Linked DNA regions of Saccharomyces cerevisiae S288C. The main gene of each other region encodes a partner of the protein of the gene in region 2 in a complex. Each region holds a gene or a part of one and is shown on either strand. Other genes may lie near its edges. The genes, in order: GID8 and VID28. A codon is read from its position in the direction of its gene.

Region 1 (3,724 bases), on a different chromosome or scaffold from region 2:
GTTATTGAAGAGTTCGAAGATCGCGATAAGTTTTTTGCAAAACCTGTGTTTGTATCAGAATTGGATGTCGAATGTAATGTTATTGTAGATGGGAAAGAACTTCTGTCCACCCCATTAAAATTTCATGTTGAATTTTCTCCAGAGGATTATGAAAATGAAAAAAGACCTGAGTTTGGTACTACCTTGCGTGTATTGAGGCTGAGACTTTACCACTACTTTAAAGATTGCGAAATATATCGCGATATAATTAAGAATGAGGGCGGTGAAGGGGCAAGAAAGTTTACGATTTCCAACGGTGTCAAAATTTACAATCATAAAGATGAACTACTGCCATTGAATATCGATGATGTTCAATTATGTTTCCTGAAGATTGATACGGGAAACACGATAAAATGCGAATTCATACTATGAAAGCTTCCAAAAAAAAAAAAGAAAAATCAATTGCTAAATGCATACATGCAGGTAGGCACACACACACACACACACACACACTCACTCACACATGCACACGCACACACACATATATAAATATATACGTACTATGTATGTCAGTTTTCGACCCTAGGAACCCCTATTTGGTTGTGATGAAGCTGATTTTCGCACCAACACCACAGTTTCATTATCTGCGTCAATCTTGGTTCATAGGGAAATTCGGAAGAGTAGTAATTATTGAATTCTAAACCTTTTTCCTTTCCATTTGAAGAGGAAAGCAATTCAGAAGTTTGATTCCAGTAATTTTTATTTTCTAAGTTATGAAAAGTTGTCGCCGCTGAACCTGTGCCAACATTTCCATCCCTTTGATTTAGCCAAACTGAATTAGCAGCAGCCGTGACCTCGTTGCTTGACATCTTTTCGTTGATAGGTTGGTCAGACGAAATGTGAGTTATTTTTGTACCATTTGAACCATTGACGAGATTGTTGTTATACACCGTGAAGTTCTGCGTAATTATTTTCTTGTCGGAATTTAACAAATCTGGAAATTTGGAATTATTATTGCTGATCTCAAATTGAATCCTTGGATGAATAAACTTCAGCAGCTTCTCATTAACCAGATCTGCTATCTTAGATCTTAGAGATATCGAGTACAGATTTTGTAACGATTTGGGCAGCTTAATGCTGCCGCTGTCCGCCGAATCTGACAAGGGGAAAAGCAGCAGAGTCATTGCTAATTCTAACTCTTGCATCTTTTTGACACTTGACGAAGCCTTTATTGCAAGTTTATTTTGAGAATACTGAATTAGATTGAGTATAAAGTCGTTGGAATCCTTGGTGATGTTCTCCTGTTGATGGTGACTTCTTATCATCTCGATCAAATTCAGTAACAGCAGTTTGAAGTGTAAATCTCCATCTATGTCAAACTGCTGCTGCTGCTGCTGCTGCTGCCTGTCAGTTCTACCCGTATAACTTCCCGTAGCATTGAAAGTCTCTTCCAGCACCTCCAGCCCGAAGATAGAGTTTATCTCCTCCATCGCCTCATTGATACGCCCCAGCTTAATAAGATGTTTGATATGGAAACGCTCCTTGATCTTGTACAAATCATTGAAAACCGCAATGTCTTTGTTGTTCCGTATAAATCCCAGCTCCTTGGCCATCCTAATGCTCGAGTCTTCATATGCCATAGAAACAAAGTAGTTCAACAGAAGCCGTGGCAGTGTGGGCTCTATGGGTGTGGTCTGTATGGTAGCAAATCCCTCGTCCTGCGAGCCGCCACTGCTGTTGGGCTGAATTTTCAGCGGATAATGTATTGTCTTATTTGCATATAGCTCGCCCATGGCAGAATACTTGGCCACCTGCTCCTTCCATTCTTCCTTCGTGAAGCACTTCTTTCCATACGTAAAGTCTTTCCCACCATTCTTGCCTTGGCCGCTGCAAGATCCGCTCTTCGTGGTCTCGTTACTAAGAGTAGATATAGTCATTTCTATTTGTTACCACACACAAATATATCTTCATCCGGCTGATATTTGTCTCTACTGCCCCTTTGCTTGCAATTTAATGACCAAATTACACATGTTAGCTTCAAGAAAAATGATGTACCATCAAAATGTCTCCTGCAACGAACCGGGGCACCGCGCCGGCAGAGTCAGGAAAGCGAGATCGACACTGATAGTGATAAACAGCAACACAATGGAGCGATTACCATTCACTCGGAACGGATCCGGACAACAGTCAAATAAACTCCGGGATCCCAAAAAGGGCCGTACACACAAACCCAAGCCGAGCGAAAAACACAAAAAAAATAAAACAGGGAAAAAAGGAGCGCAAGAGAAAACGCACAGGAGTAGGAGCAGCAGAAAGGGGAACTAATATGGTTTTTCCGTTTGCTTATTTTTATTTTTTTGTTGAGTCATGGGCACGTCACCGCACAACAGCCGCCGCAGGCCTGTACCGCTACGCGTCTATCACTGCGAAACATCGCTACTTCTGTCGCCGCGTCGACGCTGGTCCAGACCACAAAAGGATGCACGATCAGAAGCACTGTACCCTGCAGAGTTGGAGATAGTGTAACCGTGACTTCATTTTTCAAGCGTGGTTTCACATTCTTTTTGCACCGCCCTTATCTCAGATATAGTTTCGTTCGGTTGCTTTGCTTTCCCCAACTGAAGGTGCTGGATGGCGGTTTTTCCGGCTGCTGCGATTTTCCCTGCGCGGGGCCCGGCGCGGAATTGTGCAAAAGCTAAAACTCAACGGTTATTTTGAAATATAAGGTTATAAGCAAATTTCCTAAATTTGCTTAATTGTTAATGCAGTTGTTATTGCATTAAGACATTCGGCTATCGTTTCCTTTCTTCGTGTCGGCAATCTTGTATAAAAGTTATTTTTTGAGTTTCAGTTTCTTGTATATCTTGGTATATATTGAAGGAGGATTTTTTCTTTCCTGGTCCTTTTACTTCCTTGCGTCCCCTCATATTTCTTCTATTTCCGTTCACGGCGTTTTTTTATTTTCTCCATCTACTTTTAGTGATTTCCTTTGCTCTAATATTGTTTTCGTTCATAGTGAATTGTTTGTTTTCACTTTAATAAAGGGCTTTTACGACTTGTCTCAAAAAATTTCATCGAGATGCAAGCCCCCAATATCTACCCCTTCTCTCAAACACAGCCACAAGCACTGCCCGGGTTCACATACGGTCCTCCACAACTTGTTTTTGACCATTCTGCTCCGAGAGTAGATCCTTTGCATTCTACTGTAACTATAAATTCTCCATTACCCTTGCAGCATTATAATGGACCGAATGCCCATATAAACAGCGCAAACAACAACTACGCATACTACTATCATCATCCCAACAATAATGATAACAACAACCATAGTAACAACACTATAAAAAATAACAACATTAATTCTGTTCTTCCCGCCGTTAATATTCAAATATCCAACAACTCACATTATAGAAATACACACCAAATTCCTTCTGCTCCTCAGCGGCTGGTCAGCATCATACCGGATCCCCACATGCCGCCCAATATTTCTCACTTTCAGCTAAATAATATTCACCCTCAAATGCATGCTCCTGTTGCTACTGATATTCATTTCCAACAAGTACCAGTTTACAATAAAACCAATAATGGCATTGGTACTGATAACATTAATAACGATAAACCCGTAAACTCGAATCAGAATGAAGTGCTGGACAATATTGATGAACGTTCCTGTCATGAAATTAACAGGGTAGTTTCATTTTCTAAACATTTTGAAAACAACGAACTTACCACTACAGCAAATGAT
Region 2 (5,502 bases):
TTACGCTGGTAAAAAGGCTTCTTTGAACGTCGGTAACGTCTTGCCATTGGGTTCTGTCCCAGAAGGTACCATTGTCTCCAACGTTGAAGAAAAGCCAGGTGACAGAGGTGCCCTAGCCAGAGCTTCTGGTAACTACGTTATCATCATTGGTCACAACCCAGATGAAAACAAAACCAGAGTCAGATTACCATCCGGTGCCAAGAAGGTTATCTCTTCTGACGCCAGAGGTGTCATCGGTGTCATTGCCGGTGGTGGTAGAGTTGACAAACCATTGTTGAAGGCTGGTCGTGCTTTCCACAAGTACAGATTGAAGAGAAACTCTTGGCCAAAGACCCGTGGTGTTGCCATGAATCCAGTTGATCACCCTCACGGTGGTGGTAACCATCAACATATTGGTAAGGCTTCTACTATCTCTAGAGGTGCCGTTTCTGGTCAAAAGGCTGGTTTGATTGCTGCCAGAAGAACCGGTTTACTACGTGGTTCTCAAAAGACCCAAGATTAATCTTTTTAATTTTGGTTTCTTCCTTCTGTCATATTATTTTATCAATTTTCTTAAATATTATATAATTTAATCCGAAACGTTCCTTATAAAGTGATATTTCTATGCATACTTTTTTTTCTTTGACATGAGAATAAATTCAGCCAGCTACTTCCTATCACAGAAATTTTAGTTAAACGTAAGCTTGCAGTTATGGATTCTTCTGCGAAAATACTATTTAAAAAACTATAGCATAAATTAATTGTAGGAAATACTACGAGTTCTGTGCATTCATTTAACTTTCAAAAGCAGGTCCATGTGATATAGTAACGTTCTGGCCTTTTCCCTGACAGATAATGATTCGTCTGTAATATTTTTTCTAACCAGATCGTATAATCCTACCTCCACGAGTTTTCTACATCTTTCCACCGTGGCACGTGTTACTTGTACATTTGATGTACTACCTTTTGCAGCCGGGGTGCGAACGAACTCATCGCCTTCATCATCACCCTCATCATTATCGTCATCTTCATCATCATTCGCATTGCTACTGCTATCATCGCCATCTGGCTCATCGTAGTATTTCCCCCTAGAATATCCACCAGCCACTGATTCATTATACCCGATTGTCACCGTAGATTGAGGGTTTTCTGAATCACTTGGTGAATGCCCTGGTTCCAGACCATTTTCAATTGCATATTGGGTATAATGTGAAACTGATGAATTCCAAAGTAAGTTATTGAGTACCCAGAGGCATGCCAATTTCAGATTGCTGTCATTACCATTACTTGAACTATCAGTCGTTGTTTCTACCAATATTTCACTCATAATGTTCAATATTTCGTCTTGTTCGATGACTAGCTGCTTTTTATTCTCATTGACTGCCGCTAGATTCACGATAATATATAGGATGCCTTCCATTGCTTTCTTTTGTTGAGTGTCTAATGGATTTAAAAGCCTCATCTTCTTTGCAAGAAATTCGAAAAGATACGTTGAGCCGATGCTAATTTTATTACCTGTTTGAGGATCGATCTTGTATTCTACATCTTTAAATTTTTCCAAAAGAATATTTACAATTTTCCTTGAATTACAAGTCAAATTTCTGAGCAACTGAAAACATTGGGCTTGTACTGCCCAACATGGATCATTAATAAAATCCAAAATTAAATTCATCGGGATTTTGGCCAAAAGCTGAAACTTCTCTTCATTCTGGCAATTGTACATTAGATGCCTTAGTACCCATAAAGAGTTTGCCTTCACTTCATGCACAGGTATGCCTTGCAATGCAATCCTTCTTTCATCTTCATTATCGTCCCAGGCTTTTTTTGAGTTAAACAATGGATCTGTTAACATCTTTTCAATTATATCGATTATACCGTTTCTCAGCATAAATGACTGTAAATTAGAGAACTCCACCACGAAGTTACAAATACTACCCAGAGTAATGCCCATAATCATAATTTCCGGTTTCATAAAATCTTGTCCAGCAAAATAGCATTCCTTGGTCAACGTATATGTTTTACTTAGTATCTGTAAAAGCAGCTGTGCAATTTTATTTCTCTTCAACGTCGTCCTAAGCGCTGAAACACTTCTCGAGAATGATTTCAACAATAGTAACCAAGCTGCCACGAAATCGTGATCATATATTGGGGGTAAACACATAGAATGACTTTCCGTAGTTGTTTCCTTTATCTCATCTTTCAAAGATATAAAATCCTGTATCAAAGTAATGTGGGATTCCAACCCGTATTCTAAATGATTCAACAACAATGTGTCATTCAACAGTAAAAGACGGTATTTTTCGTCCGATGCTGCAAATGACGCACATATTTTAATGAATTTTGTAGTTGTTTTCAAAGTAGCTTCATTGTGTTGTGGTAGAGAAAGACACTGCGCAAAACGGGATAGAATGCAAAATATAACGTTTGTATGAGCTAGCGTGGTGAGCACAGGATTATTCATTGGAGTAATTTCATTATACAACACAATCAATGAATCCAGCATATCGAATGGATCAAACCACCAAGGCAACGGGTCATAATTAAATGACTTAACTAAATAGGGTAGTATTTTCTCGAGTGTACGCGTATCTTCCCATTTCTTATCCTCTGTAAAGTACGGTTGTAACAAAAACTTCAGGGCCACGCACCTAATGTTAACGTCATTACTCTTCAAAAGACCCAGAACGAACATCTTGAACGTCGCATCATTCCGCAGTTTCCTATCACCCGGTATCATATAATGATATCTTAGATATAGAAGGAGTGCCAATGAGAGTAAACTAGAATCATACATGTTTGAGATATTGATTTTTTTAGGTATGGCACGGGTGCAGTCGACCCCTTTATTGTCAAACGGATCGTTCTTGACGCTGGATGGTGACGCTGGCCTGGATACTTTTAGCCTCACTATATACTTGAGGCTTATTTGGTCCAAGTACTTCGATGATATTTTAACTATTATGTGTTCAAGGGATTCTGCCATTTTAAAATCTTGGTAGTGTGAAGTTTCTGTCACTTCTCTCTCTTCCTCCATAAACTTGCTCTTGTTGAAGTCGCTGCAATTTTTCTCGTCCACAAGTAAAAACAACTTCAATAATTCAATAATCGTGACCACCTCATCAATTTTACATTTGCTCCTCAAAAATTTATGGTTGACTAACTGGATGAACCCGTTCTGGAGGTATTGCAAGTCTGGGAATCCGCAATTTGGATAAACTCCTGCACACAAATTTAGAAGCTTTATGTACTTATAGTTTGTCGAAGAATTATTTTTAGTAAAACTGCTTGCCAAACTCATGGACTTATAGATTGCGGACACAATATCAAAGTAATATGTGCCTACTATATCCCTTTGTTGCGGTTCTAGATGTAAAAGGGTATATAGCAGATCTAATTTCGCATTTTTTAACTCTACACCGTCACTTTGCTCAATGGACAACAAACATTGAAAAATCTGGCACTTTGGAGCCAAAAAGTAATCTACCTTAGCCAACTGGTCTCCCACCAGGGAATTACTAATCTTTTTGAGATTCTCTAGGGAATAAGCCACCGTCATAGTGTAACTGTAATATATCACCAATCTAACACGAGGGCAATGATACAGGAAAACTGCAAGTTTCCGCCATGAAGATCATCCTCTTAGGCCGCAGTTTGTAGTGATATCCCTATAAAACGTATTATAATCTAATTAGTTTAGTTCGCGCCCCTTCAGTCTAATCACTTATAACGGATGACGAATATAAGGTCAAAAGCTTCATACACAAGCAAAACCATTTATGCTACCTGCAATTCAATCGGCAAGCATGCTTTTTCAAGAGCGCATATGGACTTGAAGGAGAGCCATAGCTAGAGGGGTTTTTAAATGGAAGACTTGTGCTCATCTAATTCAATTTGCCTTTACTATCATTTGGTCGATATTGAAAAAAAATATCGCGAACTGACATAACCAGTAGAAAAAAAGATGGAATCAGCTCTGTAGTGCTGGTTTCAATCCTGTTTGTTGGTGAAAAAATAGCACCAGAAGGGCAATTGTACGTTTCCGTAATGTCGCACAACGCAATGGAACATTGGAAGAGCAAGCTGAGCAAAACAAGTACCTCGACGTACGTCCTCTTGGCCGTGATTGCTGTTGTATTTTTGGTTACAATCAGAAGACCCAATGGCAGCAAGGGAAAAAGCAGTAAAAAGAGGGCTTCTAAAAAGAACAAGAAAGGTAAGAATCAGTTTGAAAAAGCGCCGGTTCCTCTGACTCTAGAAGAACAAATTGACAATGTGTCGTTGAGATACGGCAACGAGTTGGAAGGTCGTAGCAAGGATCTAATAAACAGATTTGATGTGGAAGATGAAAAGGACATCTACGAGCGTAACTATTGCAACGAAATGCTTTTGAAGTTGCTGATTGAGTTAGACAGTATCGATTTGATTAACGTGGATGAGTCCTTAAGAAGGCCGTTGAAGGAAAAAAGGAAAGGCGTCATAAAGGAAATTCAGGCTATGTTAAAAAGTTTGGACTCTCTTAAATAAGTTTGTATTTTTAGTTTATAGATAACGGCTCTTGCCGAATTCATAGGCTGCACTCATTCCGGTACGGTACACATTTGTTGCATTTATTATATTAGAGATGCGTTGTCCCTGTTTTTCTACCTCCGACATCATGCTGAAACATGGCATGTAATTACCGTAAAAGGAAATTACATGGCGAGTGTCACATAATAGCGACAATAACATGTATACACAGCCAGCTATTCTGAAACACACCACATTATAGTTATTGAATGTGTGTGTTTTTTGATAACAGTATAAAAGTGAAGAGAAAGCACGTCGAGCCTTGTCATGATGAATTCTTTAATGATCTTCGCGTGATTTAATTCTAGTGGTTCGTATCGCCTAAAATCATACCAAAATAAAAAGAGTGTCTAGAAGGGTCATATAATGTCTGCAATTAATCATCTTTGTTTGAAACTTATTTTGGCGAGTTTCGCGATTATTAACACCATTACTGCTTTAACAAACGATGGCACTGGTCACTTAGAATTCCTTTTACAACACGAAGAGGAGATGTATTACGCAACAACCTTAGATATAGGTACACCGTCCCAAAGTCTGACAGTGTTGTTTGATACCGGATCTGCCGATTTTTGGGTTATGGATTCTAGCAATCCCTTCTGCTTACCAAATTCAAATACGTCATCCTATTCAAACGCAACTTATAATGGCGAAGAAGTTAAGCCTTCAATTGATTGCAGGTCTATGAGTACTTATAATGAGCATAGATCTTCCACCTACCAATATCTGGAAAATGGTAGGTTTTACATCACATATGCTGACGGAACATTTGCTGACGGTAGTTGGGGGACGGAAACTGTATCAATTAATGGAATTGACATCCCCAATATCCAGTTCGGAGTTGCCAAGTATGCTACGACACCCGTTAGTGGTGTTCTTGGAATTGGGTTTCCTAGAAGAGAGTCCGTTAAGGGCTATGAAGGTGCTCCTAATGAATATTATCCTAATTTTCCTCAG

The links.
Region 1: the proteins of VID28 (region 2) and GID8 are in contact, whole or in part, in a cryo-EM structure (PDB 7NS3), measured with the Saccharomyces cerevisiae proteins. Residues at the interface, in NP_012247.3 of Saccharomyces cerevisiae: Asn15 (codon at 3,493), Leu17 (codon at 3,487), Val18 (codon at 3,484), Gly19 (codon at 3,481), Asp20 (codon at 3,478), Gln21 (codon at 3,475), Leu22 (codon at 3,472), Lys24 (codon at 3,466), Asp56 (codon at 3,370), Tyr59 (codon at 3,361), Thr60 (codon at 3,358), His63 (codon at 3,349), Gln68 (codon at 3,334), Phe77 (codon at 3,307), Asp78 (codon at 3,304), Ser81 (codon at 3,295), Lys106 (codon at 3,220), Ala112 (codon at 3,202), Tyr115 (codon at 3,193), Pro116 (codon at 3,190), Asn117 (codon at 3,187), Cys118 (codon at 3,184), Gly119 (codon at 3,181), Phe120 (codon at 3,178), Leu123 (codon at 3,169), Ser141 (codon at 3,115), Cys143 (codon at 3,109), Lys144 (codon at 3,106), Ile145 (codon at 3,103), Val148 (codon at 3,094); in NP_013854.1 of Saccharomyces cerevisiae: Glu151 (codon at 1,466), Asn154 (codon at 1,457), Leu159 (codon at 1,442), Glu160 (codon at 1,439), Leu162 (codon at 1,433), Glu163 (codon at 1,430), His194 (codon at 1,337), Asn232 (codon at 1,223), Ile236 (codon at 1,211), Lys237 (codon at 1,208), His299 (codon at 1,022), Pro300 (codon at 1,019), Arg301 (codon at 1,016), Gln303 (codon at 1,010), Phe304 (codon at 1,007), Ser307 (codon at 998), Asn308 (codon at 995), Lys322 (codon at 953), Ile323 (codon at 950), Ile324 (codon at 947), Phe328 (codon at 935), Thr329 (codon at 932), Val330 (codon at 929), Tyr331 (codon at 926), Asn332 (codon at 923), Asn334 (codon at 917), Leu335 (codon at 914), Val336 (codon at 911), Asn337 (codon at 908), Gly338 (codon at 905).

The regions. Positions count from the first base shown.
Region 1 is NC_001145.3:538,141-541,864, forward strand, and holds GID8 (glucose-induced degradation complex subunit GID8), read right to left. Parts: upstream 1,917-3,724; coding exon 549-1,916; downstream 1-548. Other genes in the region: ERG29 (Erg29p), read left to right, coding at 1-411; GAT2 (Gat2p), read left to right, coding at 3,059-3,724. UniProt on the Saccharomyces cerevisiae protein: Component of the GID E3 ligase complex recruiting N termini and catalyzing ubiquitination of proteins targeted for degradation.
Region 2 is NC_001141.2:317,431-322,932, forward strand, and holds VID28 (glucose-induced degradation complex subunit VID28), read right to left. Parts: upstream 3,536-5,502; coding exon 770-3,535; downstream 1-769. Other genes in the region: 60S ribosomal protein uL2 RPL2B, read left to right, coding at 1-502; SNL1 (Snl1p), read left to right, coding at 4,024-4,503; aspartyl protease BAR1, read left to right, coding at 4,912-5,502. UniProt on the Saccharomyces cerevisiae protein: Component of the GID E3 ligase complex recruiting N termini and catalyzing ubiquitination of proteins targeted for degradation.